4 linked regions of the Struthio camelus genome follow. The protein of the gene in region 1 purifies or fractionates together with the protein of each later gene. This does not show direct contact. Links are inferred from orthologs where the notes say so. Each region holds a gene or a part of one and is shown on either strand. Other genes may lie near its edges.

What was found.
Region 2: the proteins of POLR2F (region 1) and POLR3GL purify together in Homo sapiens (affinity purification with mass spectrometry; 3 studies listed by BioGRID and IntAct, with this or other methods). This does not show direct contact. The link is inferred for Struthio camelus from reciprocal best matches to the Homo sapiens genes POLR2F and POLR3GL.
Region 3: the proteins of POLR2F (region 1) and MED1 purify together in Homo sapiens (affinity purification with mass spectrometry; 3 studies listed by BioGRID and IntAct, with this or other methods). This does not show direct contact. The link is inferred for Struthio camelus from reciprocal best matches to the Homo sapiens genes POLR2F and MED1.
Region 4: the proteins of POLR2F (region 1) and POLR3E purify together in Homo sapiens (affinity purification with mass spectrometry; 4 studies listed by BioGRID and IntAct, with this or other methods). This does not show direct contact. The link is inferred for Struthio camelus from reciprocal best matches to the Homo sapiens genes POLR2F and POLR3E.

The regions. Positions count from the first base shown.
Region 1 is NC_090942.1:58,570,734-58,578,129, reverse strand, and holds the start of POLR2F (DNA-directed RNA polymerases I, II, and III subunit RPABC2), read left to right. Parts: upstream 1-4,395; 5' UTR 4,396-4,470; coding exon 4,471-4,490; intron 4,491-4,645; coding exon 4,646-4,715; intron 4,716-4,932; coding exon 4,933-5,063; intron 5,064-6,686; coding exon 6,687-6,758; intron 6,759-7,237; exon of another isoform or gene 7,238-7,349; coding exon of another isoform or gene 7,350-7,392; exon of another isoform or gene 7,393-7,396. Other genes in the region: C1H22orf23 (UPF0193 protein EVG1), read right to left, coding at 282-386, 699-799, 2,011-2,145, 2,618-2,806, 3,341-3,403, 3,807-3,918. UniProt on the Homo sapiens protein: DNA-dependent RNA polymerase catalyzes the transcription of DNA into RNA using the four ribonucleoside triphosphates as substrates.
Region 2 is NC_090971.1:3,068,649-3,074,936, reverse strand, and holds POLR3GL (DNA-directed RNA polymerase III subunit RPC7-like), read left to right. Parts: upstream 1-3,815; 5' UTR 3,816-3,866; coding exon 3,867-3,989; intron 3,990-4,086; exon of another isoform or gene 4,087-4,118; coding exon 4,119-4,248; intron 4,249-4,346; coding exon 4,347-4,415; intron 4,416-4,504; coding exon 4,505-4,561; intron 4,562-4,636; coding exon 4,637-4,710; intron 4,711-4,870; coding exon 4,871-4,981; intron 4,982-5,075; coding exon 5,076-5,162; 3' UTR 5,163-5,775; downstream 5,776-6,288. Other genes in the region: ANKRD34A (ankyrin repeat domain-containing protein 34A), read right to left, coding at 1-269. UniProt on the Homo sapiens protein: DNA-dependent RNA polymerase catalyzes the transcription of DNA into RNA using the four ribonucleoside triphosphates as substrates. Specific peripheric component of RNA polymerase III which synthesizes small RNAs, such as 5S rRNA and tRNAs.
Region 3 is NC_090966.1:6,514,410-6,521,652, reverse strand, and holds the start of MED1 (mediator of RNA polymerase II transcription subunit 1), read left to right. Parts: upstream 1-4,232; 5' UTR 4,233-4,307; coding exon 4,308-4,335; intron 4,336-6,070; coding exon 6,071-6,177; intron 6,178-7,007; coding exon 7,008-7,086; intron 7,087-7,243. Other genes in the region: CDK12 (cyclin-dependent kinase 12), read right to left, coding at 1,623-2,677. UniProt on the Homo sapiens protein: Component of the Mediator complex, a coactivator involved in the regulated transcription of nearly all RNA polymerase II-dependent genes.
Region 4 is NC_090956.1:9,387,590-9,394,488, forward strand, and holds the start of POLR3E (DNA-directed RNA polymerase III subunit RPC5), read right to left. Parts: upstream 3,013-6,899; 5' UTR 2,883-3,012; intron 1,618-2,882; 5' UTR 1,518-1,617; intron 1-1,517. UniProt on the Homo sapiens protein: DNA-dependent RNA polymerase catalyzes the transcription of DNA into RNA using the four ribonucleoside triphosphates as substrates.

The sequences.
Region 1 (7,396 bases):
ATTTTTAAAGGCTTTTCCTCTATGTTTTCTTCTCCTTAATATTGTTGAGCAAGACTGCCCCTTGCAGAAGGGATCTGATGCGTGCGTAGGATTTTGCAACAGCTTTCTTCTGTTACTGGCTGTGCATAAATTATTCCTGCCTTCTGGCTTTAGGCAGCAGGTGCTACTGCCCCCTCTTCAAGGGGATCCTTGAGAGACGGACAGACACAGACCAGTCCTTAAGACTCAGATGATAAGGGAAGAAGACCTGGGACTAAATTGTTCCGGTGTTTTTTCTGGGCCTAGTCATGGCCATCAGATTTGTTCCCAATGGGAAAGTCTTTTGTTGCGATCTCTCTCATTTCCTTGCTTCTCTTCTTGTCAATGATCTCCATCTCCCGCAGTTTCTGCAAAGCGCAAAGAAAGGCCTGAGTGGTGAGCATGCCAGGAGCTCCTACTTTTTTTTGCCAAAGCCAAGAACAAAGGTTCTTCTTCCCTAGACTAAGTTACATGCAGACATGGAAAGAAAAGCTGAAAACCCCTCTCCCCCAGTCCCCTAAATTCACACCTGCCCCGTGCCATGAAAAAGAACGCTCATTTCTCTGCCTCTTCCCAGTCTTTCCCATGCACCACGCTTGGTTATCAGAGGGCTCAGATTTCTAACACCACGGATTCCCTCTACATGCTGTAGCACCAATGCCCCCAGGGCCCTCACGTACCTGTGAGATTTCAGTGAGGACAATCCCTCGATACTTCTTGCCCTGTCCTAAAGCTTCCATATCTGCCAGGAACTCCTTCCTCTCCTGAACTTCATTCACCACTAAGCCCAAGGAGAAGAGAAAATAACGTGCAAACAGAATGCAGCCAAAAGGCAAGCAAGCACTTTTCTGTTTAGCTCTGAACCCCCAACTTCCTAGCTCCACTGGAACGGAGGTCCCACCAGGGGAAGGATGATATCTACTCTAACAATTATCTTCACCATGTCACCAAAACATCTCAGCAGTTTTTTACGTAACAGGAGTACTTCCCCCACGCCCCCAGCCCCTTTCTCTACCTTGCCAGAACAGTAACTTTCTAGTTTTTTATGTGCAGGCAACACTGTTGCTTGCAGGCATTTTATCCAGTCTGTGGATGGAGATAGAAATCGTCTTAAATCTGTTGAGGTTCACTAGTCCACATGCAGCACCAAGTAACCACACACAACCATATTTGGTTGCAGGACCAGCTCATGCACAGAAGCACTTCAGCTGCTTTTTTGCAGCACAGACCCGCAGCCAGTTCCTGAAACAACACCTGACACGGCACAGTACACGAGTACTTTAGATGTGTCAAGGACAACAGTGAGTTTGAGACAAGTTTTATAGGATCCAAAGCACGCGTGGAGCCAACCACGCTGGTTTCCGTGCATCAGGGACCAAACCACCCCTTGCAAACACATTATCTGCGTGTTGTCATTCTTTCTTCTGCCCTGGTTAAGGAAGAGCTAGCTGGGGTGCATGCATGCATTGCAGTTTCAGGCACACAGAGTTATAGAAGGCAGGGTTTTGCCATCCCAGAAGACTCTGTAGGCCAAAGTACATCACTACCTAAAATTCTTCTCTACATTTAAGCTTTGCTAGTGTAACTGCACTGATTTGGGAGCAAAAGAAAATGCAGCCCAAGCCACACTGAGGCTGGCAAAAGTCCTAGTCTACATGGAGTTAGACCGGCTGGAAGAAGGATCCACAGCAGCTGGGCTTTCTGCCGAGGTTACCCTTGCAAACCGCTAAGGTAGTCCTGTGCCAACAGAGTTGATTTTGTATGGGCAATCCAGAGAGCGTGACTCTGTCAGCAAACCTTTGCAGTATAAATTCTGCTAGGAAAGCTGGATCAGTGTCACAGCAAAAAGTCCTTTCTCTTGGAAACTGGGCTTTGTGCCTCCTTCCGCAGTGGGCTTCAGATTGCTGGCTACATGGCCTGCCACTCCAGCTCTTAGAGGGAGCTGAGTTCCCAGGCCTCCCCATGTGCCTCACTCTAGCATCCTTTACATACGTTCTTCAAAGCGGTCAAGCTCAGGTGTCTCCTCTTCCTTCGCCTGAACCAGCGTCGGCTTCACTTTGTGCTCCACCACATCCTTCCCTGTCGCCAAGATATTTTGGAGTCTTTGCTTCTCCCTTTCCAAATCTCCTGTGAATTGCAAAGAAAAGAAAACTATTAGCAGCCTGTCTCCTCAGGGAAGGAGCCTGGCCGCATTGCTTCTCTCCAAATGATGGCAGAGGAAGCATTATGTTAATGACAGCCCATCTCCAGACTGAACTGCGCAGCCCTACACAGATGTACTTGCAGTGAAGAGGCAACCAAACTGACATCAAAGGTCTGATTCACATTTATAAACTGGAAAATATATATAGTATTCCCTTCTTAGGCAAGGATCACATGAGTTCCTATTACCTATCATCTTCCTAACCAAGCAGGCGTTGGCAACGAGCGTTTACAGATGTTCCCTCAGAGCTCTCTTTTTATGCATCTTTGAAGACAGAAAGCGTGAGGATGAAGAGCAACTAAGAAACCCCCCTAAGGTTACTGAGATGGCAAACAGCGCATGGATGTAAGGGACTGGGCAGCAGGATTTATTTATTAGTGACATTTGCTGACTTACGCCTTGCCTGTGGTTTGAATTTCTCTCTGGTATAGGCATCTCCTGCCTGGCAGATCTTGGCAGGTCGAAGATGTGGTTTAGCTGGAAGCCTGCCTGGCAGACAAAGCTTTGGGGGAGAGAAGGCAGACTCTGCAGGCTGTGGCTCTTTGCTGGATGTGGGGTTGCACTGGAGGGGCAGGGTATCTCCTCCTGGAGGTCAAAGGAAAAATACTGGTAAGTCGGACACAGAGGAGCCTATGGCTTGATGGCCTTGGACCAGCAGAAGGTCTGCCTAGTGATCCACCGGAGTACAGTGAGCAAAGATCCCAAGTACCACAGATGTCTTACCCAGTTATTGGTTCATTCGGACATGAGCGAGACTGGTTCAAGTCCCACCATTACGTTTTCTTCGCTGGACTGACCCTTGGGGACACCTCGCCCAGCACAATGTCAGCAGCAGCTCTACTGCTATTTTAAAGGCAAAAGTACAACAATGAAAGGAAGAGGCAGGCCAAGGTTGGACGGTTTTCTCTATGAGAACAGTTTCCACTACAACATATGAAAACAGAGATCAGGAGAGTTAGGCTGGACCTGATGCTGACAAGAACATGACTTCCTCCCAAGTACTGCCCATTCATTTGTTTCTTGCCCATCCACCTAGTCTGCAGGCCAACGTTCTTCGTCTCATGGTGAGCAACACAAACTCAGCAGCACAGGGTGGAGAGCAAGATGGATGTTACTCACGTTTCACACAGTCCATCAGGTGCCGCCTCTGGAAACTTGTAAGCTTGGACTCCTCCATCATTGCTGAAAAACATGGCGCATCTGTGAAGACTACAGCCTGAGAAGGCTCCACTCTTCACCTTTGGCAGCTAGGACAGGTGAAACGGCTTGGTAAATCAGCCCTGGGGAAAATCTCTACTTACAAATCAAAATCCAAAGCGGGGAAGATCAAATTATTTTGCAATTTCAGAAACATCACACCAGGACGCTCATATATAGATACGTTCACTGCCAGGTCTAGCATCTTGCTCTGTATGTTTCTCTCTCAGCTCTCCCTCGAGGGGATGAATTAGGGGGAGTGTTTTATTTCAGGAAAGACTTTCTTTTTTAAACTGACCACACAGTTGCTATATAGAAGCAGTAATAACCGGATCCAAACGCTCTGGTTCTTCACTTCCTTCAGGCCCCCCCCCCCCGCCGCCGTTACCTTTCAGCAGCTCCTGGGTCTCCCGGCTGTATTGAGCTGTCCCAGGAGGGTGCCAGAAGTGAGCTCCTTTGGCCGCAGCTGGCGCTGACCTCCTCCTCTCCCGGGACGCCATCGTGAAGCCCTGAGAACAGCAGCGAGACAAGGCCACCGAACGTCCCCAACGGCATCGCCTCGCCGCCGGGCCCGGCCGTTCGGGGTCCCGTCGCGCAGCCTCTGCACCCCCGGGGACTCCGGCAGCGTCCCAGGGAGCATGGTGACAAGTGACGTCACAGGCGCTGCCCTTCCAGGGACTGCGTGGTGACAGGTGACGTCACAGGCGCTGCCCGCGAGGCATCCGTACCCCGCCGGGCCCTCTCACCTTCCCTCCGAGGCGCGACCCAGCCTGACGTCACAGCGCGGCACTCTAACGCCACAAGGGGAAGAAGCCCAGCGAGCCAATTAAAAACAAAAAAACAAAAAACAATAGCAACAACCACACCCACAAAAAACCCTCTTCCCGTCTCCATGGCGACGCGCGGGCGGGAAGGAGGGGACGGGCAGGGCGGGGGGGGGGAGCGCGGCGGTTCGTCGCCACGGCAACGGGGCCGCCGGTTCACTTCCGGTAACGTCACGGCGGGCCGCCGGAAGTGGCTGCTACTTCCTGGCAGGAGGCGGAGGAGGCGGCATGTCTGACAACGAGGATAAGTGAGCGCGGGGCCGGTGGCGCTGGGTCTGGGGGCGGAGCGGGGCTGCGGGGGCCGGGCCGGGCGGCACAGGGGGCCCCGTCGGGGGGGGGGGGAAGAGAGAGGAGGAGGCGATGGCGGCCCAGGGCGCTGTGCGACGTCCGTGTCCACCCGCAGCTTTGATGGCGACGACTTCGACGATGTGGAGGAGGACGAGGGGCTGGAGGACCTGGAAAACGCCGAGGAGGTGAGTGCAGGCGCGGCGGCAGCCGCTCCCCGGGGCTGCCGGCCGCGCAGCCAGCTTGGAGCTGCTGGGCTTCTTCGCAGGTCTTCTGGCAGTGCTCTGTGGAAAACCCTTGGTTAGCCTGTCTTTCAGGCCCTAAAGGCGTCATGTGTTTTCCCAAAGCCTGGCTGTGCTGCTCTTTGGATGCAGTAACGCTGCTGTGCTGGTCTGTTTTTCCCAGGAAGGGCAGGAGAATGTAGAAATCCTCCCGTCTGGAGAGCGTCAGCAGGCAAACCAGAAGCGGATTACCACCCCCTACATGACCAAGTATGAGCGAGCCCGAGTCCTGGGCACTCGTGCCCTCCAGATAGCGTAAGTGTTTTGCTCTGTGTCCCAGCTGTTACCGTGGCTGGCCTGCGGGCTTCTAGGGTCTCCCATCTGTATTTAAGTTGCTTTTCTCTTTCCTGGAAGTATCCTGGAGCTGTTGAAGTTCCTCATGTGATCTCTGAGCTAGTGGACCACCATCTGTGCCGACACTGAAAAACAAAGCCTTTGAGTGCTTAGTCCCATGTGAAATCTCTGTATCTTTTCCTAGCTAAGGTTATGGTACTTGTGTCTAGAAAGGGAGGTGTTCAGCAGTTGTAGTGCACCTTCCGATGTGATAGGTAAAAGAACAGGGATGTGATAGGCTGATCCTGATTTCTGCCTTTCATAAGATGAGCCAGTCTGTGCTGGAAAGCTCGGAATCTGCTAGCAAAAGCCAAGATTTGAGGGAGTAAAGTTCCAGAATGTCTTCAGTTGATCTCATAGGGCTGTAGGGATTAAGAGTAATGATCTCAACTTCTTTTTAGACTGCAGTTGTATTGCAGCTATATGTTTCTACAGCGTTTGGATCAATGGGACCTCATTTGTAATTGTACTTAAATCTTATTTTAAGTGCTGTTGAAGCTGGCTGCTCTCGACATCTTCCATTTACCTTTCTGGATCTATTTGAATAACGCATGTCAGAAGACTGCCCCGCAAGGAAAGAGGTTGTTAGGCTGTGGTAAAGTTTGTCTGAAAAGGCATCTCTGAGTCTTATCCTAGTTATGTGCACTCTCTCAAAATAATGCTTCTCCTTCATATCACTTAGAAGCTCGTAGGTGGTGATCAGATCTTTCCTTAGTCATCACTTTGCCAGGCTGTTCTTTGCACAGTCAACACTCTGTGAGGCTGTTTTGTGCACATTCCTTCAACTGGTAGAAGGCCAGAAAAATGGGAGAGATGAGATGGGTCTGTGCCAGACCTTTAATCCATATGCTCTAGTGCCTGATTGGGCTTCGCTACTTACTCTGCCTTCAACACCGAATCTAGGCCAGCAGCAGCCCCCAGTGGCCTTATCCACACATAACGTGAGCTTCCTTTGCTGCTGTTGCTTAATGGGACAGATAATAGTCAGCCATGTTGGCTGTGCTGTTAAACTTCCTGCGAAGTGCTTTATTTTTTTCCTGGAGATAGTGTGTCATAAAACCAGCCTCTTACTTTACCCCAGGTAAAGCCTGGAAAATAAGATCAGGTCAGGAAGTAAGAAATGTGGTGGAACTGTAGATGGCATGCCCATTTTATAGTGTTTCCACTCTCCTTATTGGATTAATTTTAGAACTGCTCTTTCCTTCCTCACATTTATGTACAGTCCAGGGGGACTCCAGGAGGATGTGGTTTTGACCAGCTGTGAAGCCCCAGCTGCAGTTGAGGGACGGGTCAAGAAGAACATTCAAGTAAAAGCTCAGTCCATAGCCACTTGCATCTAGTGAAAGCAGTCCTGCCACCACAAGATTGGAGTGGGGGACATTTCTTCCCAAAGTGGATAAAAGTGCAAACCTTGGATTTGCCAAGGTGCTGTTCCTCCCTCCTACTTTGCTGAACTTTGGGTGAAAGACATAATAGATAACGTGCTTAGTTATCCCTCTTCCATCTCTGCGTATTCTCTATTTGATTGTTGTTATTTCCACTCAGGATGTGTGCCCCTGTGATGGTGGAGTTGGAAGGAGAGACAGACCCCTTGCTGATTGCCATGAAAGAACTCAAGTAAGTCTCAGATTTTGACAGTGGGTGTCAAGCAGTCCTACTCATCCTAGCATGTAGCGGCTTATCCTATGCAGGTTGTGCACTCACTCTGTAACAGTGAGTATTACAGTCGCTGTCCCCTCTCCCCTGTTGGGACCGCTCCCCAGCTGCAGGTAGCTTGGGTATTGCTGTGTCCCATGCTAGGAGCTCTTGCAAAGTACTGATTATTAGCAGTACTTTGACTTCTTTTACTTGGAAGTCCAAGTGGTTTTTATTCCCTTGAGAACCCACGTCTCCATCTTTCTGGAATCAGTTTAATTCCCTGAAAGGAGCTGATGCAAAGCAGCCTTCCTAACAAACCTATGTTCGAGTGCTGGCAGAAATAAAATAAAGGTCAGGTTTGTGATGTGGAGGCCATGTTAAGAATGTTTTTCTCCTGCACCCTTCCATGCTTGGCTTACTGTGATTGCAAAAGACTCATCTCTGCTTCCTGCCTCCAGGTTAGGGAATCTTATCTGGTTACCAGAATGTGTTGCATAGAGATGAAATACAGTCATAGCCTTTCTGAGAGGCAGCTTCTGGATGACTACTTACAGGCCCACCTTTCCACAGCAAAGCTCCCTGCTGGTCCACAGTTCACCAAGATGGTCAGTGACCTA
Region 2 (6,288 bases), on another chromosome or scaffold:
TTGCCCGTCTTGTCGGCGATGTCGGGGTCGGCGCCGCGCTCCAGCAGGTAGCGCACCATGCGGGGCTGCGCCAGCGGGTCGGCGTAGCGGGCCCGGCAGGCGGCCATCAGCGGCGTCTGCCCGGCCGCGTTGCCCTCGTTGATGTAGGCGCCGCCTTCCAGCAGCAGCCGGGTCAAGCGAAATTTGCCCTGCGTCACGGCCCGCAGCAGGGCCGAGCCGTCCGCCGGCAGCACGGCCGGGCCGGCCGGGCGACGCGGGGGGCTCGGCATGGCCGGCTCACGGCCCCCCGACGGGCGGCGGCGCCTGGGCGGGCTGAGCCCGGCGCATGGCACGCTCACGGAGCCGGGCGGCGGGGAGCGGACGGGGCGCGGAGGGGCTCAGCCCGGAGCATCGGGCGCTCACTGCGGCGGGACGCGGCCAGGGGAGGTGGCGGCGACGCGGCGATCTCGGAGCATTGCACGCTCACTGCAACGGGACATGGAAAGGCAATGTCACATGGATATGGTGATCCTGCAATGGGGCACGGAGAGGGGACGTCGCATGGATGTGCTCATCGTGCAGCACTGCACCCTCTCTGCAACGGGACACAGAAAGGGGATGGTGCACAGATACGGCGATCTCGGAGCATTGCACGGGCACTGCAATGGGGGACAGAAAGGGGACGTTGCACGGATATGGAGATCCCAGAGCATCGCACACACGTTGCAACGGGACACGGAAAGGGGACGGGTCAGGGATGTGGCGATCCCAGAGCATTGCACGCTCACTGCAACGGGACATGGAAAGGCAATGTCACATGGATATGGTGATCCTGCAATGGGGCGCGGAGAGGGGACGTCGCATGGATGTGCTCATCGTGCAGCACTGCACCCTCTCTGCAACGGGACACAGAAAGGGGATGGTGCAGGGGTTTGGTGAACCCAGAGCACGGCGCACACATTGCAATAGGACGTGGAGAGGGGGACCGCGTTGCACGGATGCGCTGCTCCCAGAGCTCCCTCCTGGCAGGCAGCCCTGGCTCCCTGCCTCAGTTTCCCCAGCTGCAATTCTTGCCCGCCCCCCCCCCGCCCCCCGCTGCCCTCGCAGCCGCGGTCGAACTGATGGCACTGACGGGCACCGACGGGCTCTCACGAGGGGGCGACCCCTGCGGATGCCCCTGTCGGACTGGCCAGCGGTCACAGCCCAGCCTGCAGCACCCCAGGCGCCAGGGCTTCTCTGCCACTGCCTGTGGCTGAACGCCCTGCCTGCGCGGTGCCCCGGGTCCCCTGCTGGTGCCCCCGGCATCCCCTGTCCCCCGCCTGTATCCCCCATCCCTGGGTGCATCCTCCGCCTCCCTGTGCACCCCCATCCCTGGGTGCATCCCCCACAGCCCCAAGTACCCCCATCCCTGGGTGCATCCTCCACCTCCCCGTGCACCCCCATCCCTGGGTGCATCCCCCACAGCCCCAAGTACCCCCATCCCTGGGTGCATCCTCCACCTCCCCGTGCACCCCCATCCCTGGGTGCATCCCCCACAGCCCCAAGTACCCCCATCCCTGGGTGCATTCTCCACCTCCCTGTGTACCCCCATCCCTGGGTGCATCCTCCACCTCCCCGTGTACCCCCATCCCTGGGTGCATCCTCCACCTCCCCGTGCACCCCCATCCCTGGGTGCATCCCTCACCTCCCTGTGCACCCCCATCCCTGGGTGCATCCTCCGCCTCCCCGTGTACCCCCATCCCTGGGTGCATCCCCCGCCTCCCCACATACCCCCATCCCTGGGTGCATCCCCCATAGCCCCGCGTACCCCCATCCCTCTATACATCTCCCTGCATCCCTGCCTGCCTGGTTCCCATGGTTACTGCAGCTCATCCTGCTCCTCCGGCTCTCTGGGCAGCCAGAAAAATGGGGGGAAAAGAGCCAACCCCCCCACCTTTTCCACCCCAATTTGCAAGCCTGGGTTACAGCAGCCCCCGGCAAAGCCCCGGCTGCATCCGAGCCCCACTGGGTGCTGGGGGGGCTGCCGGCTCCAAGGGGGGACCGAGCTCTGGGGTGGGGGGGGGCCCTGCCCTCCGCGGGGGCTGCCCCATGCGGGTCTCCCCAGCCCTCCCTCCCCGCTGCCTTCCTCCATCACCCCCGTTACCAGCGCGATGCTCCGGCGTCCCGGTGCGCAGTGCCCTGGCCGTGCCGGTGCCGGGGACATGGCGCGGTGGCCGCCATCCCGGCTGGGGGGGGGGGTCGGTAGGGGAGGTTAGCTGGAGGGTTTTTCCCCCCTTCCCCCGTCGCTATTTTTGGCAGCCGCTCGCGCGGGGAGGCTGGACGGGGATGAATCACCCGGCGGCGGTGGCAGCGCCGAACCCGCTGCGCCGAGCAGCCTGTGCGGGAGGCGGCGGGAGCAGCTGCCGTGGGGGCACTGCGCCGTGGGGCTGGGGGATATGACACCATGGGGCTGGGGGACACGACGCCGTTGGGCTGGGGGACGCGACACCATGGGGCTGGGGGACGCGACACCGTGGGGCTGGGGGGATATGACACCATGGGGCTGGGGAGCACCACACCGCGGGGCTGAGGGACATGGGCAGTGGGGCTGGGGCTATGGGGCAGTGGGGTGGGAGCCAAAGAGCAGTGGAGCTGGGGGTTATAGGGCAGCAGGGTGGGGGCTATGAGGCAGTGGGTCTGGGCATTATGGGGCAGGGGGCTGGGGGCTATGGGGCAGCAGCATTGGGGGTTAAGGAGCAGCAGACCCAGGGGCTATGGGGCAGTGGGGCTGAGGGCCATGGGGCAGCAGCACTGGGGGTTATGGGGCAGGGGGCTGGGGGCTATGGGGCAGCAGCATTGGGGGTTATGGAGCAGCAGGCCCAGGAGCTATGGGGCAGCGGGGTGGGGGCTATGGGGTAGCAGCACTGGGGGTTATGGGGCAGGGGGCTGGGGGCTATGGGGCAGCAGCACTGGGGGTTATGGAGCAGCAGGCCCAGGAGCTATGGGGCAGTGGGGCTGAGGGCCATGGGGTAGCAGCACTGGGGGTTATGGGGCAGGGGGCTGGGGGCTATGGGGCAGCAGCATTGGGGGTTATGGAGCAGCAGGCCCAGGAGCTATGGGGCAGCGGGGTGGGGGCTATGGGGCAGCAGCACTGGGGGTTATGGGGCAGCGGGGCTGGGGGTGATGAGGCAGCGAGGTGAGGACCATAGGGCCGCAGCACTGGGTACTATGAGGCAGGGGGCTATGGCGTGGCAGCACTAGGGGTTATGGGGCAGCGGGGTGGAGGCACTGAGGCTGTGGGGCAGCGGGCTTGGGGGCCGTGGGGCGGCGCTGTGGGGCAGGGGGTGGGGAGCGCTCACCCATCGGGGCCCGCATCCCTCCATCCCCGTCCCCGCTTCGGTCCCTCGCTCGCCCGGGTGCCCCTTCCCTGCCCCCTTCGCCCCTCCCGTCCCCTCTCCCGCGGTTCCCACCCGCCTTTTCCTCTTTCCACCCCTCCCTGCCTTCTATCCACCTCCCCATTCAGCCGCTCGGCCCCGCCCCTTCTCCCCGGCCACGCCCCTTCTCCCAAACCCCGCCCCCTCCCGCCCTCCCATTGGCCCCGCCGCGCCCAAGTGCGGCGGCGCGCACAAGCCCCGCCCCTTCCGCGCCGTGTGCCCCGAGAGCGGGGGGGGGCGCACGTGGCGCGGCGCGGAGCGCCCGTGCGCATGCGCGGCGCAGGTGCGGCCGGGTCCGGGGTGGGGGGGAGTGTCCGGGAGCGGGACCGAACCGGGACCGGGGGGGGGGGGGGGGGGAGCAGCGCCGTGTGTCTCCGCGCCGTGCCCGCCCCGTTGCCCCCCCCCCGCCCCCTCACGGCAGCGTTGTCCCCTCGCAGCGCCGCCGCCGGGCCCCGGCGCCCCCCCGCACCGACCATGGCGGGCCGAGGCGGCCGGGGCCGGGGCCGCGGGCAGATGACCTTCAACGTGGAGGCCGTGGGCATCGCCAAGGGGGACGCGCTGCCGCCGCCCACCCTCCAGCCGTCGCCGCTCTTCCCGGTGAGTCTACGGGGAGGGGGGGGACACCTACTCTCCCCCCCCCCCACCCGCCTCCCCGCTAGGTAGCGGTGGCCGAGACCTGCCGCGCTCATCGCAGCAGTGGCGCTGAGGGCCCTCCTGCGCCCGCAGCCCATGGAGTACCGGCCGGTGCCGCTGCCCGGCGGCGAGGAGCTCGAGTACATGCTGGCCCTCAAGCAGGAGCTGCGCGGCGCCATGAAGAACCTGCCCTACTTCGTGAAGCCGGGGGCGCCGAGGCGAGGTACGGAGCCGGGGCGGCGGCGGGTATCCGAAAAGGTGACCCCGGGGCTGGGGCCGCCGCGGGGCTCCCCGCCGACGGTCCCGCTCGCCACCCCGCAGACATCGAGCGCTACTCGGACAAGTACCAGGTGTCCAGCCCCGTGGACAGCGCCATCGACTGGAGCCCAGGTAGCCGGGATGGGGAGGAGGGAGAAACGCCGTGGGAGCGGGCCGGAGGGGAGCCGGCGTCCCATCCGGCGCTCCGCTCTGCCGCGCAGATTGGAGGCGCCTGCCGCGGGAGCTGAAGATCCGGGTGCGGCGGCTCCGCAAGGGCAGTGAGTATCGCGGGCGGCGCGGGCCGCGTCCTGCCGCCGGGCGCTCTTGACGCCCGCCTCCTCTGCCCCGCGCAGGGCCCGCCGTCCTGCTCCCCAAGCGCAAGCAGCGGCTCGCGCTCGACAAGGAGGAGACCATTAAGAAGCTGGAGGTAAGGAGGCCGAAGGCTCGGGCCGGCCTTCGCCGGGGTTGTCCCGTGCGGGCGGCTCTCTTTTCTTTTTTTTCTTTTTTTTTTCCGCCCTGCGGCGGGGAGTCCCCGCGGTTAACGCGGGCGCGCGCTAACTCGGCGTCTCCCTTCCCTCGGCGCCCAGAGCCTGGAGAAGAAAGAGGAGGAAGTCACGTCAGAGGAGGAAGAGAAGGAAGAAGAGGAGGAAGGGAAAGAAGAGGAGGAGGAAGAGTATGATGAGGAAGAGCACGAAGAGGTGAGATCCTGGGGGCTGGGGGTGGTCTGGGTGCCTCCCCCCGCCCCGAGGATGCGCTTCAGGCCCCCGTCGCCCACCGGCTCCCCGTCCCCAGGAGACCGACTACATCATGTCCTACTTCGACAACGGCGAGGACTTCGGCGCCGACAGCGACGACAACATGGACGAAGCGGTCTACTGAGCGGCCCGGACGCCTGGGCCCTCCGCCGGTCACCAGCCTCCTCCTCTGCCCTTCGTCCCTCCCTGTGCACCAGCGGCGCTGAGGACCAGCCCGCCTTTGCCTCCAGGTGGCACTTGTGCTCCAGGCACGGGCGCTCGGCCGCACCCATCGTACGGTTGGGTCCCCCCCACCCGCCAAACCTTGCACCCGGCGTCACCACCGAGGTGCCCCCGCGCCGGACGAGGGCAGGACCCCCATCCTGGGGTTCAGGGGGGCAGCGAAGGTGTGGGCGCACAGCCCTCCCCGCAGCTCGGACCAAACTTTGCCCTTTTTTTGCTGTGTTTTTAGGTCACTTTTGAAGTGTTTTTTAGCTTGATATTGGGGGGGGGGGGGGGAAGGCGCCGGGGTGGGGGCGTAGCGGGACCCCGGGGGGGGGGGGGCTGCCGGGCTTGTGCCCGCAGCAGGACGAGGGCGCCGCCGCCATCGCGCCACAGCGTTTCCTCTGGCTGCCGAAGAGCCCTCCCCAGAAAGCAAGCGCCTCTTGCAGCTCTCGTAGCTGCTTTTTAATCTTTGGGGGTCTTTTTTTCTTTTTTTTCCTTAGTGGATTGGATTAAAGTGATGTTTTCTCTCTTTTTGAGCTGCGTTTGTGCTGTGGCCTCAAGTGGGGATTTTGGGGGGGGGGGGGGTGATCAGGACTCCTGGGCTGCTGCTTGTCCCCAGCCCCAACTGGGACAGGGGGGTCCCTGAGTGCTCCCTGGCGCTGGTCCCCTCCCTGGGCACGTAGAGGTGGGACCCCCCCCCCTCCCCGGGGAGAAGGGGGCTCTTTGTGCCACCCCCCCCCCCCGTCCCCGCAAGCCGCTCTCCAAGAATTGCTATTTTTAACGGCTTCTAGGAAAAAACCCAAAGCGTGCGTAAGCCTGGTGGGAAGGCAGCGCGGGGAGCGGCCTGGCACCGGCGCGAAAACCAGCGGCGCCGGAGCAAAGCGGCGCGGGGTGGCCGCTCGCGGCGCTGGTTTGAGCAGGGGAAGGGCTCAGCTGGCCCCTTCCACCTTCCCTGGTCTGATCCTGCCCTCGCCCGGCCCCCACCACACCGGTGTGTGGGGTCACTGGTTATACTGGGGCAGGCGGCTCCGGTTTGGGCCCCGCGC
Region 3 (7,243 bases), on another chromosome or scaffold:
GGAAAGACCACCTTTTAGTATATCACTTCACTCCCCAAGCAGTTTCTCCCTGGTTACAGCCGAGCACGGAAACTTAGCAGATCCCATATACGCTATTACATCACATACCGTACATAAGTTTCTACCACTTTGTTCTTACTCTTGCACAAAGCATTACCAAATAACCTGTAAGAGCAGTGCTATTAAGGCAAAAAGAATTGAGGGGAGGGAAAAGAAAGCCATCAAAGACTCCCTCTCAACATCTCTCATGTATACGCACAGAAAACGGGGAGGGAGAAACAGGCCTGGACTCAGCTGGCTGAAGGAAAGGCAGGGTAACTTTCGCTTATTTCTACTTATTTGCTTATTCTACGATTTTACACAGCAGATTTTATATAACAGCTTCCAGGATACTAAACAATACACTGCTCATACAGTGAGGAGAAAGGCGATGTTTCAACCCCAGAACATAGCAGTCTCTGAAGTTAAGAGAGGAGCTCTAGTAATAAAGCCCAAATTCCAAAATCACCAAGTTCTCTGGGAACTATTGATGATGTAACTAAGTTCTGCAGGCAGACTCTTCTCTCACAGCTCCTATTTGGACCAAAGGATGCAGCACAGCCAACACAGTACAGAGCATTTCAATAGTTATTACGTTCCAGGTCAGATCTTAATTGCCATGGAGCTACAACCAAAGCTCCACAGCACACACAGTGAAAACTGGAAACTTGTTCAACCTAAGCTGAAGCTAGAAAAGAGAATCAGCATTAGACTACGTATTTGTGCACATAACAGGATGGTTAATAAACATCTGAAACAAAACACAGAGTTAGCACCACTTTCAAGTAATAGTTTCCTTCTGTAGCAAGATTTCTGACTAAGGAGAGAGTGGGGGGGGGGGGAAGAGAAAGAAAATTATAATTAAGCCAAGAATACAGCTGCTTCCTACTTGCCCTTCCAGAATGCCCTGATTTCAGAATATGGAAGCAAGTAACTCCATTACTGATAAAGTCTAGGCTAGAAAGATGCAGTTTAAACATGGTCATCTTTAATTCAAGGAAAGAAAGAAAAAAAATAAGTCAGTTTAGAAAGAGTAAAATATACTCAGAACAAAAGCCACCCTCCTGAAAAGCGTGAGCAAGTTTCCACATCCAGCAAAAAGCTAAAGGGTTCCAGAAATAAGTGAAAACATTCTTCCTAACTGAAATTCACACCACTGAAGTGCCTCAGGAGTTGAAAAGCTCTGTCTCCAGTGGACATGCAGCTCCCTGCTCCCCTTCGCTCCCTTCCGCAGGGGGCCACCTCTAGAGGTAAGTGTAATTTAATCCCAAGAGCTCATTCAGTCCTAGGCCTCTCTGCTGAGAGCCAACATGGACGCTGCTTAGTGCCAGTGAGGGAGGTGTTTTCTAAGGTGTGAACACCATTTTAAAGAGAATTGCAGCGAACCTCACCAAAGTCAGTCACTCTGCGGCCAAATAACGCAGCCACAGCACAGAGTGATCTGGGTCAGATCTAGATGACAAAGGGGGTTAATTTCCACATTCCCAGAGCCACCCCGACCACCCCTAGATACTTCCTCCTTCCCCATTCCACTTTTCCTTCCCCATCGCCCAGCCAACGAAGGCAACACAGAGGTCACGCACCTGGCTATCGGACTTCGGCTCACAGACCGCTTCGCAACAAAAGGGCTGCTCGAGCGCCTTCGGCCATACGGGCTGGGCGACCTCCCGCTGTACGACCCGCTTCCTCTCTCGTAGCTTGAGGAGCGCCTCCTGTTATAGGGACTTATAGACCTCTGTCTCCGGCTGTAAGGGCTGGGAGAGCGAGTGTTCGACTGGTAGGCCACAGGCTCCTTGTAGGGCGGGCTGATCGACTGCCTGCGTGATGAGCCGCCGGGGCTCTTCTTGTAAGAATCATAGTTACTGGATGTATGAGACCGGGGAGGGCTGATATCATACTCCTGGATGTAGGAGGCTCCTGAGGGGCTGTCATCCAATTTAGGGCTGTCAGACCATTTTCTGTGAGGACTTCTGGATTTCCGCTTCGGACTGTCAATTGTTTTATAACTTTTTGGAGCATCCCTTTTCCGGTGGCTTTTACTGCGCTCTTTGTGGCTGGACTTGAGTTCTCGATCCTTCCTGGATTTCTCCTTGTGCGCTTTGGCTGACCGAGACTCCTTGTTGCTACTCTTCGAAGACAGTGACTTGGGGTGCTCCTCGTTGTCATCGAGGAGTCTCTTGGAGGATCCTGATAGTCTGTCCTTGGTGGACCCTGACCTGCTAGATGCCTCCAGGCTCTTTTCTAACTTCCTCTCCTTCTCCGCCTGCTTGCTCTTCATCAGCTCACGAATGCGCTTGTGCTGGTGGTGCCGGTGCTTCTGTATCCTTTCGCTCCTGTCCGCTTTCCTTTCCTCGTTCTCCCTCCTGTCCAGCTTGAGGGCCACATCATCCGAGAAGGTATCCGAATCTGAACTGATGTCGTCGTACTCCACCAGCGGCTTGATCATTGCGCCCAAGGGTGCCGCAGTCTCTTGGGCTGCCAGCGGTGACTCCTTGGAGTGCCTGGACTTATGCCTCTTGTGCCTGGAGGCCAGCCGATGCCTCTCCTTGCTGTTCGAACTGCCGCTGCCAGGCGCGTGCTGCGAGGACCCCCCACCGCCCCCGTCCTTCTTGCCCCCATGTCTCTCCGGATTTGGCATTCCTCCTCCACTGTGCTTGAAAGAGGGGAGGGGGGGAATCCTCCAAAACCCCCAAACTTTAAACTCCCTCAGCACCCAGCTCCCTCCCCTCCCACCATTCAGAGCAGCGTCGCCCCCCGCCTCGGCCCTCCCTGCCGCCAACACCCCCCACCCCTTACATGGGGAGCGGGCCGGCGAGCTCGGCCCCGCGGCGGCAGAGGAGAAGGAGGAGGCGGAGGAGGAGGCGGAAGGGGGAACCGGCGGCGGAAGGGCACCGGCCTCACCGCCTCACCCGAGGGGCCCAGGCCCGGAGGGCAGCGCCGCCGCGGGGGCGCCCCGGGAAGGCGGGGCCTGGGCCCAAGATCCCTCCCTCCTTCCCCCTCCCGCCGCCTCAGCACCGGGCCCCGCCGCGCCGGCCCCTCGCCCCGCCGCCGAGGCGGAAGGCCGCCCCTCGCCGCCGCCGCCCCGCGCCGCCGCGTGCCCGGCCCGGCCCGGCTCGGCCCGCCGCGCCCCCCGCTCACTTCCCAAAGCGAAACGGCACCGCGTCCAAGGGGGGGGGGGGGGCGCCCGCCAAATCTCGCGAGAGCCCGCCGCCTCTCGCGAGAACGCCGCCGCCCTCCGCCCCGCCGCCGCTGCCGCCGATCCCGCGAGAGCTGCCGGAAGGGGCGGGGAGAGGGGGGGAGGGAAGGGAAGCGGGGCGCGTTCCTCCTCTCGCGAGAGTTCTGCCGATGACGCGCTCGCCGGCGTCGAATGAAACTTTATTGGGGCCCCGAGAGCGGACAACCCCCCTCCCCCCCCCCGGCCGCGCACTTTCAACAAAACTTTATAAGGGCGCGCGGGGCGGCCATGGCCGCCCCCTTTGCCTCAGGCGGCGGCCGCCCCGGGACACGGACCCGTTCTCGAAGCGCCGCGGCCCAGCCGCCCGCTGAGGGGGGAGGTGACCGGGCCTCAGCTCTGCCAGTGGCTCGGGGCCTGGGGGAGAAGTTTCACAGGGGGCTCAAAGTTCACGGAAACCCGCCCGAGCTCGGCTGGCGAACGCGGCGCTGCTCTGAGGCTCGCTCTGGGCTTTGCGCCTTCGCCCCTACGCGACCAGGCCGAACGCCGGGGGTTACGGCTCCGCCTCTCGGCAGCGCCGGCCGGGGGAAGATGCGGGCAAGGCGGCCGCCCCGCGGGCCCGGGGAGCCGGTGCACCGCCGCGGCCTGGCAGCGAGGCGGCCAGCTCCATCGTCCGGCAGGTAGAGCCTCACAGAGGGAGCCGTAAAGGCGGCTCGGCCGCGGCTGTGAGCGGGCTGCCGCTGGCCGCCGGGCCCTGCCGGGCTGCGGGAAGCCGGCGAACGCCGCCGCGCTGAAAGGGGAGGGCGGGGCTCCCGCGGGCCACGCCCCTTTCCCCCCTCCCGCTCTCGCGAGATCGCGGCGCGCGCGCCTCTTCCCTCCCCCTCCCCTGCTTTCCCGGCTCTCGCGAGAGGACGCGGCCGCCCTCTCGCGAGAGGGCGGGAGCGCCGCGCGCCGGCCCGCCCGCAGCGCAGCCGCGGCCGTTGGGATGGCGGCGGCCGCCGAGTGAGGCCGGCGCGGAGGGGCCCGGCCGCCGCCGCCCACCCGACGCGAGGCCGGTGCCGCGGCCCGCTCGGGGCCGCCCGTCCCCAGCCGCGCCATGAAGGCGGCGCCGGGCGGCGCTGAGGGTGAGTGCCGCCTGAGGGGCGCGGCCGAGGGCGCCGGGCCGGCCCTGTGAGGAGCCGCGGGGCCCGGCCGCCCGGCGAGGGGCTCCCGGTGTCTCCGCCCCGGGTTAGGCCGTAGGTGTCGTGTATCTCCCCCCCTCCCCCCCCCCGAGAGGTGGTACCGCGGCTGCGGCCCGCCGTGAGGGGCGAGGACCCCTCGGCCGGCGGCACCGCCCCGGGCTTTCCCCGCCGTAGTGCATGTAACGCACCCCTTGGGCCTCCCCGCGCCGGCTGCAGGGCTTGTTCCATTTTTGAAGGGTATAAGGGCAAACATCCAAGGGAAGCTCTGACTGCGCTGCACTCTGGCAAAAAAAATCCCCTTGTCCCTAGTGTAACTGAGAGGTATAAAGTGCCTGGAAACATCTGACAAACGTTTAGTTATGTTTTACACTGGGACTTGGTGGGGATCCCTGCTAATTCTGTGAACTGTACGCACGTCGATCATGAAAATGAGCTCTACAAAGTTTGCAGTGTTGCACAGCATGGCGGTTAGTAGCCTTTGTGTTTGCCTTGGACCCTGCAGTGCCAGTGAGAGATTTATTTTGGCAGTGATGTCCGTTGGGTTTTTCAAAGAATGCAACTGTAGAAAAAGCTGTCTCCTAGATAGCAAAAGAAATGTCAAATTATAACACTTTTGAAACTGTCTCTTTTTTTTTGTATGTGTTTTTTATTAGACATTGGGCAAAAATACACTATTCTAATTTGGATTTTTTTAGTTAATCTGCCTGATGATAGTTTTCTGCCCAGTCAGTGTCCCTGTCTCCCACCTCTCATCAGTTTATCTCATCAGGGAGATACTTTTCCTAACAGTGGAACTTTCTAAAATACAGGAAAACGAGCTTGTAAAACCATACCTAATAGAAGGAAGTTGGTGGGATATGACAAGCATTTTGTAAAGGTTGACTAGATTCCAGTCTGGTACTGAGCTGTGAACCACTCTTGAAGGCAGAGCAAAACAGGTCATCAATTGCTTTGTTAGATCACAGGATATAGAGCCGTACACTGGTTCCAGAACAGCACGAAGACACCAGTCCTTGGTCTCAGGCTAACAGAGGGTGGGTGAAAACGTGTCTGGTCAGAGAGTTTTCGACCCTCTGAAGCACTGGCAGTTGAATCAATTTAATTAAGGGTGTGAGAGATGAAGGGATCAGTGCAAATCTTTACAATGCAAGAAGTCGGAGGGTTAGAAGAGTATGAACAGTGAAGGTGAAGTCAGGAGATGAAAGCTTAACCTCTGTTCTTTAAAAGTTTGCTGATGCGATGTTTTCTACACTCTCTACTCCTTGTCCTCAAAAAGCTTCAGCACGTCTTTAAGCCATGCTGCTGTAAACCCAAACAGTGCTCTGACATATTACTGTCATACAGAACTTAGTCGTCTGGAACCGTTCATCTCATTCAGGGTCCATGCAGAATAGTAACTGGGCTTCTCCCAACGAGCCCTTAGACCTTTGATGATCATCTAGGTTTTAATAGTTATATCTATTAGTTATAATATTTTAATAGATACATCCTTAATGTCATATAACCTTGAAGTCTAGGTCCCAGTGATAAATCAGCAATAAGTAAGTTTTGTGAAATCATTTTTAGCTTGAAGATGGAAAGTGTTTTTGTTACAACTGCCTGCTTGTTGTATTTGTAAAACTTTAAATTTTATCTAGTTCTCTCTCTTCTGAATTTTCTCCTATGATTTGCCTTATAGAAGCAGAGAAGCTGAATAAGATGAGTTCGCTCTTAGAAAGACTTCATGCAAAGTTTAACCAAAACAGACCTTGGACAGAAACCATGAAGCTAGTCCGCCAAGTCATGGTGAGGATTGTTGGAATCTGAGCAGGAGAGTTTCAGGAGCATCTTTAGTAATGATTCTGTTGTTGGTTTGTTAGATCTCTTCAAAGCGCTTTGCTTTTTATCCAAGCCTCGACTTCCTGTTGGGCCACTGCGGTTGAGGCATGCCGGTTGTCTCGCCCAGCAGCGTGCAGGGGAGTGATGTGCATGTCCTGTCTGCCTGGAGTGCCTCTGCTTTCCCTGGTTGCAGCCTCCCGCTTTACAGCCTAATTGACAGGGGGCAGCTGTCAGTACAAATGCAGGAAGAGGGCCAAACTTAAGGTCTCTCACCACCGGTTCAAACCACAACTGTTCTGCCACTTGCTGTTTCGAGATGTTTTATTTTCTTAAGCAATTTACTCCTTTGTCCGTAGTGTTCAGAATTCAGTGTTGGCTTAGTTGAATGTGGTTTTGAAACATTAGTTTCTGGGTGGGGGAAGGTAGGAGCAGAAGGCAGGAGAGAGCTACATCAAAGGTTTCTGCATGTGTTGTTCTGAGATGTTAAAAGTTTGCCCGTCTAGGTATTTCTCTGTCTCCTCTTATATAACTCTCAGCTTATGCCTATTAAAAAGTTATTACAGTCTGTTCTTCCAGATGAGCGAGTTGCTTAAAGAACAAGTTGCCTGCCTTTGTTACCTGCTTTCAAAATGGATACTGTTGTTATTATAGGAATCGAAATGAGGATGTAATTTTGGGATGAAGTCTAATCTGCCTTTAATTACCTGAATAAAGCTTAGTTGACTGAGCAAAAATTGCAGTAATTCCCTCTCAGTGAGATATATATCAAAAGGTCATTTTTCTTCTCTCTGACTAAGGAAAAGCGAGTTGTGATGAACTCCGGGGGGCACCAACATCTGGTGAGCTGTTTGGAGACTTTGCAGAAGGCATTAAAAGGTTAGTACGTCTGTGCGTTCACTTTATGTACTGCTTAGCAATGGTACGCTGTGGAAATATTCCACGTCATAAAAGCAAGCAAGGTTCTTGCTAGCACGTATCTCTCTGCGTTCTTGGTGTATGTGTGCTCATGTTTACGTAAGCATGCTTACCTCTT
Region 4 (6,899 bases), on another chromosome or scaffold:
GCAGTATCACGCCTGATTCAGACCTTTGGATAAAAAAATGGTCCCTCAGCTAAAGCAACAATAGTTTTTCCTGCTGAAATCAAACAAAGAAGGATTTATAAATTATTTGGGATGACACTGCAACAGTGTTAATTAGTCCAGATCATTTAAAACACCACTCTTCCTCACTGTCTTCTACTCCCTGGTGCCAGCTCGTTTCTTTGCTGGACCTCCTACGGAGGAAGAAAGAGAGAAGGAGGCAGAGTCCAAATCAGCTGGCAATATAGAGCTTGTGAGAGAAGCAAGGGAAGTCATCATCTATGTTCACCCAGGACAGCGGTAATTTTTTTAAAATACACAGTCCATTTCCCAATTTAACCAGCTCAATATACTTCAGAAGATACCCAGGCTTCTTAAAACATTGTATTAGTATACCACACAGTTGTCTAAGAAACCTTCCAGAGACGCTGGATAGACATTCTGGATACAAGTGCTGTTAACACCACTACATGGGCAAATCTCCATTCCAACACCACCTCTGGTGTATCTACACTGTCTCTGCCACCCCAGCTAGGAATATGATTCCGTATTTTTCACTTTCAGGTTCTTTAGTATCAAAAAAGTGCTCCTCCCACTACAGAACCAGAATTTTCCATCTCATCATGCACCAGCGTATCCCTGGCTCTTCCCACACAGCCATGCTTGAAATTTTACCAGTTATCATCTGATGTTCAGATGTGGAATTATGTTGTAGAAATGCAAAACCTTCACAGCGAAAAGCCTGCATCTTCAGTTAACTACAGGCCTGGGGTTGTTCTGGCACAACCGTGAGTATGTGACATCCGAGCGAGTGACTACGAGTCTCCTGCTATCAGACATTCAGTTCTTCCCAGAAATACAAGCATGAATAAGTTATTTTAAAGGAATGAGACTCGTCAGTTCCAATGTTGCTTTCCCCGACTCATGTCTCCTGGGTGGCCTGATGCAGCAGGTTCACTTAAAGCCAGCTTTGTACACAGGACAGAGCTCTGCAAAAAAATGGAACAAGTGCCGTTTCCCCTCAGAGCACAGCCCCAGCTGGGAGGGGGCCCGAGACGCGCGATAGCGCCTGGTAACGCTCAGAAGGGAGGAGGCTTGCGTTCAACCCCCTGTCCCCACAGGGGCATTGGAAATCCCATTTCCCCTGCCTTCTCTGAGCACCAAACGTGCGCTATTCTCGTCTGCCTCTCCGGAGGAAGTTATTCCACTTTGTGGAACAGAAATTAAGATTCCCTGGGCTAGGGAGAGAGCGCGAGAGAGAAAAAAAAAACAACAACCTTGTTTCTTGTCCTTCATCTAAGGCTGCTTATGTAATTTTACATGAAAGCTCTTCCTGAATCCTGCTGTCAGTGGTTAAATAAAATGTCCAGTTATAAAGATCACAATTTTTCTTGTCCATTTAAGGACAGAAAATGACAACAGACCCTTCTATTAGAATACCCGAATGACAGGGAGATACATAGGAAGCCATGTGTCCCAGAACGATTTATAATACTCACGCAATTGGAGGGATGTTACACCGAATCAGAATGAAGCTTTCCTTGCAGGCCTGCAGCCACAATTCATGTCTACAGTCTGTGTAGACCCTTTTCCTCTTATCTACGAGGAATGCAGAAATGAACACCAGAAGAGTAACAGCACGGAATTAAAAGCTACCAGACATCAGGCACGGTCACCTGAGTATTTGTTTAAAATTATCCCTCTATGCAGAATTTTTTTCTTTTTAAAGGGACTTTCCTGGTGTAAATCAATATTAATGCCAATTATTAATACACACCCTTAAACTTAAGAACATCTTCTAGGAAGGCAAGGGGTAAATCTTCTCATTTTTTCTGAGAAGTGATGAACTCTAGGACAGGATGGAAGTGCTCACGAGCTGCCCATGACAGCACCAATTTAGAACCAGTGAAGAAAAAATATTGCGCCCAAAGGACTGTAAAAAATTCAGTGATGGAGCAGATGAATCCTGCCTCTAAGCCTGAACTCGGATGGGTATTTGGGTGCTAGATCTCCCCTTTTTATTGCTGAAAACTTTGAAACAACTGTGAACAAAAAGACTGCAGTCCCGCACGTCACCTGACACAGACAGACTCTTGCCAGACCTGCCAGAACTGCTCCAGCAGGTCACTAACACCTCCGTGTGACGGTACCCACGGACCCCCCCTCCCCCCCGAGCGGCGGCACACGAAATCGAGATGCTCCTACGCAAGGGCAGGCGGCAGCCCGGGAACCGCCGCCCTCTCGCCGCCCTCGGGCAGCGGTCCGGAGGCAGGAGAGGGGCCACCCGCCCCCACATTTGCGGCGGCGGCGGGGGTCCCTCAGCCCGGCCGCCCCCCGCCCCGGCGCGCGCGCAGCACAACGGAAGCGGCCAACAAGGGCTGAAGCAGCTCCCAAACGTTCCCGGCGATCGCGGTTTTGACCCAGTTACCCGCGTCGCCGCCCGCCCGCCAGCGGCTGCGCAGGACGGCCGGCCGCCAGCGCTGCCCCGCCGGGCGCCATGCGGCGCGCGCGCACCTCGCCTCAGCGCCTCAGCGGCGGCGCGGAGCGGGGCGGCCTGTCCCGCCGCCGCCGGGCCGCGCCGCGCCGCCCGCCACCCCCCGCCGCGGCGAGCAGCTGCCGGCGCTTCTCGCCTCCTCGCCCACCCGCGAGCCTCCCGCCCCGGCACCGCGTGGGGAAAGGCCCGGGGCGGCCGCGGCTCACGCCAAACCGGCGCGCCCAGCCCCCCTCCCCCGTTACGTGTGGCGAGTCTGAGGTCCTCAGAGAGGCTCGCGGCCCTCCCCCCCCGGTCCCTCGCAGCAGCCTCCCCTTCCCCCGCCGCCCGCGGGGCGCCGCCAAGCAGCAAGAGGGGCGCGGCGGCCGCCTACCTGGCGGAGGGCCGGCGCGGGCAGCAGGGCCGCCGGTTCCCCGGTGGCGGTGCGCGGCGCTCAGGCGGCGGCCATGTTGGTGTCACTGCGGCCGGCACGTGGGGAGCGCGGTCCTCCTCCTACCCACAATGCTCCGGCGGGCGGCGCGCCCGCCAGGGGGCGCCGCGGCGGAGCGGAGCAGAAAAAAGAGCCGCTGGCAGCGGTGGGATTCGAACCCACGCCCCCGAAGAGACTGGAGCCTTAATCCAGCGCCTTAGACCGCTCGGCCACGCTACCGCCGCGACACCAGCTTCTTCTGCAGGGGATTTCTTACAGACACAGCCCGGTTCTTTGTGCTCTCCCTTTTTTTTTCTCTTCTTCCTCTTAGACGCCCCCACGTTTCCAAGAGCTGGTCCTAGCAACCGCTCTCCTTACACACCATTTACACGTCCAAAACCAAAAAGACTTGTTTTTTTTTTTTTTTGTTGCGCTCCTGTAGCGAAGCCGTGGCTGCAGCAGCGCCGAGAGCTGTTACGGAAGCAGCAGCAGCGAGCAGCGGCAGCCTGCAGCCGCGGACGGCTCCGCGCAGGGGGCAGGGCCGCCGCCCCCCCCCCCCCCCCCCCCCCCCGGGCAGCGCTGAGCCGCCACGTGGCCGCCGCGCGCTCCCGCGCTGCTCCCGGCAGCGAGCGCGCCGGCGCTCGGGCCTCGCCTGCGCACCGCTAAACCTACAAGTTATACATTTTATCTTTTCCTTGCTGCAAAGTCCGAGCTCGCTTAGTTTGAAAAGTGAAAGCTTAGACTTTTAGGATTTTTCTTTTCCCTCGCCGTGCTGCAACACAGGGGCCAGAGCAGCAGGGCCTGGAGGGTTGCACCGATGCGCTCCTCTGCGGACGAGGGGTAGGAGCGCATCTGAGTTGGCCCTGTACCTTATGAAGGTGCCTTTGGGAACCTCTGTCCGCATTTTGCCTGAAGGTCTGGTGAGGTTTCTTGGAAAATACTGTTATTCTTGGCCCTTGGTTAGAGCTGAAGGACGGCGTCCGGGAAAGAATTCCAGCCTTCCCGAAGTAAGGCCGCAAAGTCTTCATGCAGCCTGGTTTAACTCTGTGATTATGGCAGCCCGCTTAAATGGGATAGAAAGAATAAACCTGCCGGAGTACTCCCGAGACCTCAGTCCATCCCTCCCCCCGACCCATCCACCCAAGCCCTGGAGCCTCTGGGCTGTCCCCGGCCGGCCGGCATGGCGCCCGCCCTCCTCGCGGGGACCTCGGCGGCTCTGCAGGGTGGCAGTCCTGCTGGAAACGCCGCTCAGCAACAGCAGCACGCACGGAGTGGTGAGCGGCATCCTCCTCTTGCTGCGTTTTCACACCCTCCGTTCTCTTGATCGGTGAAGGAAAGCCCTGTGCCCAAGAACATTCACCTCAGCCATTTGTGCCGCTTCCAGGCGGTAGGAGCGCAGACCCCACCTCTAGGCTGGCAGCTGGGTCACCGGGTTGCTCACTGGGCCAGCGTGAGGCACGATGATCGTGATGGGATTTTTTTCAATGTATTCAAATGTTCAAATTCAAAACAAAAGTGAATTTACTGGAGAACTCAAATATAGTGCAAGCTACCTGCATAATTATACCACTTTCCTGACAGAGGAGTGTCAGCGAAGAGCAGAGGACCTACCACCCGTACTCTGATCCCTTTCACACCAAGGGCCAGCTGACGTCTGATGGGTGGGAACCCCCGTGAGCCCGTCCCACGAAACATCCAGGTCCCCAGCGGTGGGAGGAGGCACATGAGACACACCTGAGCTTCAACCAGAAAACAGCCCGACTCGCCCCCAGAAGCACCAGCCTAGAATCCAATCAGAGATTCAAGTGTAATCCTCCCTTCTCAAATTCAGATGAGAAGTTCTGATTTGGCCCACCTAAATTATACTTGTGTCTGTCGGGAGTTACTCTACTCACAGAACTGGAATTACACCTGTGGAGAAAAAAACAAACAGAGATTCACATCAGAGCCATGATTAAGAAACGGCCGGTCTTCTTATTTGCACTCTTCAGTTCTACGTGTGTGTCCATCGTTCCCGTGACTGCTGAAGGATGGTATCCCTACTTGCTTTGTGCCTCTTGCCAAAGGCTCCAACTCTCGGTGACACCAGCTATAGCTAAACGCAAGACTGGCAGTGCCAAATTTCACCGTTTTTCATCTTAGTGACACTGGAGTGAATTTGGCTTAAGAGACCCCACTGGGGCTTTTGGGTTAGGAGATTCCATTATCGCAAAGTGTCTTTGCTATAGAAAGATTTCGTGCTGTTTGAACTATACAGGTATAATAAATGATACCTGTCTAATTAAAGCAATAAAAAAGCAATAGTAAGGGCTCCAGTTGCAATAGTTGAGAAGGGCTAGTATCCAAACAGTTTGTTCTTGTACAGAAGAGGGAATAAACATACTAAAGATGGCAGTGTATCGTTAGATATTGTACCCATTACAAGAACTCTCCCACCTCTAATCATCCAGGCCAAATATTTGCTTTTTTTTTTTTTTTTCCTCAGGGCTAGGCAAAGATTGGAGGCATAAAGGTGCCTCTAACAGCCCTGCCAGTGAGCGCTTTGGTCCTTACGTCGTATCCTGTAGTAGTTACAGACGTTGCAGATGTAACAGAATGCAAATAAAACATCACATTAACCATTAGCTGTCTTCAGGAAAACATTTTCTTGGCATGCATCTAGCTATTTCCTCTTGGTTATTTAGTTCTGACTGTTGAAAGTACACAAGATCAGGGATGGCATAATAAAAACAACACAGAGGATTTCTGGGAGCTTGCACTAGTAGGGTTCAACTTTGGCAAATAATAAAAGCAAGAGCAAAAAAGAACCCCCCCAAAGGCAATGACCAAAACTCAACTGAAAAAAGTGACAAAAAATAACTTTATTGACCAGCCAGAATGAATCCAGATGAAGTGAACGACATGACTTAAGTGGTGCAAGCCATCAGTACTCGCACGTCTGACGCACAAACAAGGCTTCCAACTCGCTGTCCTTACCCCAGGAACGCTGCATCTGGGTAAGTTTTGCAGGGCTGAGACTCAAATTTATGTTCAAATTTTTTAAAAATATAATTTTTATTTGTTCATTGTGAATAGATTAAAAATACAGCATATAGCAATATCATTCCAAAAGTCTGTCAAATACATATTCTCTTCAAGAGTGTCATAAAATAAGTTGCGCATATTTCTGTAAACCAGTTTCGTTTTTAAATCATTCAAACTCCTACTGACCGTATAGCTAAATATGATACCACCTTACTACAGAAGGCAGTTTACGTCATTAAAAAAGTAACATTTACAATAAAAATATTAATCATATTTTTCCAAGCATTTACACACCAGGTCTAGAGAGAACTGTCAGCAACTCTCGCAACTACAGAACTTAGCAAATTAAACTTTGTCAAAGAGTTTCAATAATTATACTCAAAGTCCTTTACTCACATTTTGGATGGACACAATCAATCTCCTCTCCTCCCTACAAGGCTGGCAGGGTTGTAACACACGTGCTTCTTTCTTAAAGCAAATCTCAAAGACTTGGCGTCAACACCTTACAGGGAAAACAAATCCTTTGTCTGGGTGTGTTATAGTGCCTGCACTGTATCAGTCCTGCACAAAACCCTCTGACTGTTCAACTGTCTGCAGAGAGGAAGGGCAGGAAGGACACGTTTACCTTTCATCGAAAGCTGCTACTTTAGGGCTATGAATTGAAAGAGCAAAAGGTCACATCCAAAAGAGGCGTTAGGCACCTAAAAACAGAACTGTGGATAGGCACTTAAAGCATTCACATACGTTGCGATCCTACAAATTCCGGTTCAATTTCAGCATCTTAGGTCCAAAGAATTTGAGTACTTTAGTACCTAGCTTATTATCTACCTAAGCCCAGTTGAGGTCTAGAAATCAGACATTCCTCCCTAATGGGTGAAAAGCTTCACCTAGTATCTGACACCCTCTCCGGAACAGGCTCCTCTCCTCCCCAGAAAAAGAAGTTATGAACATTTCTTC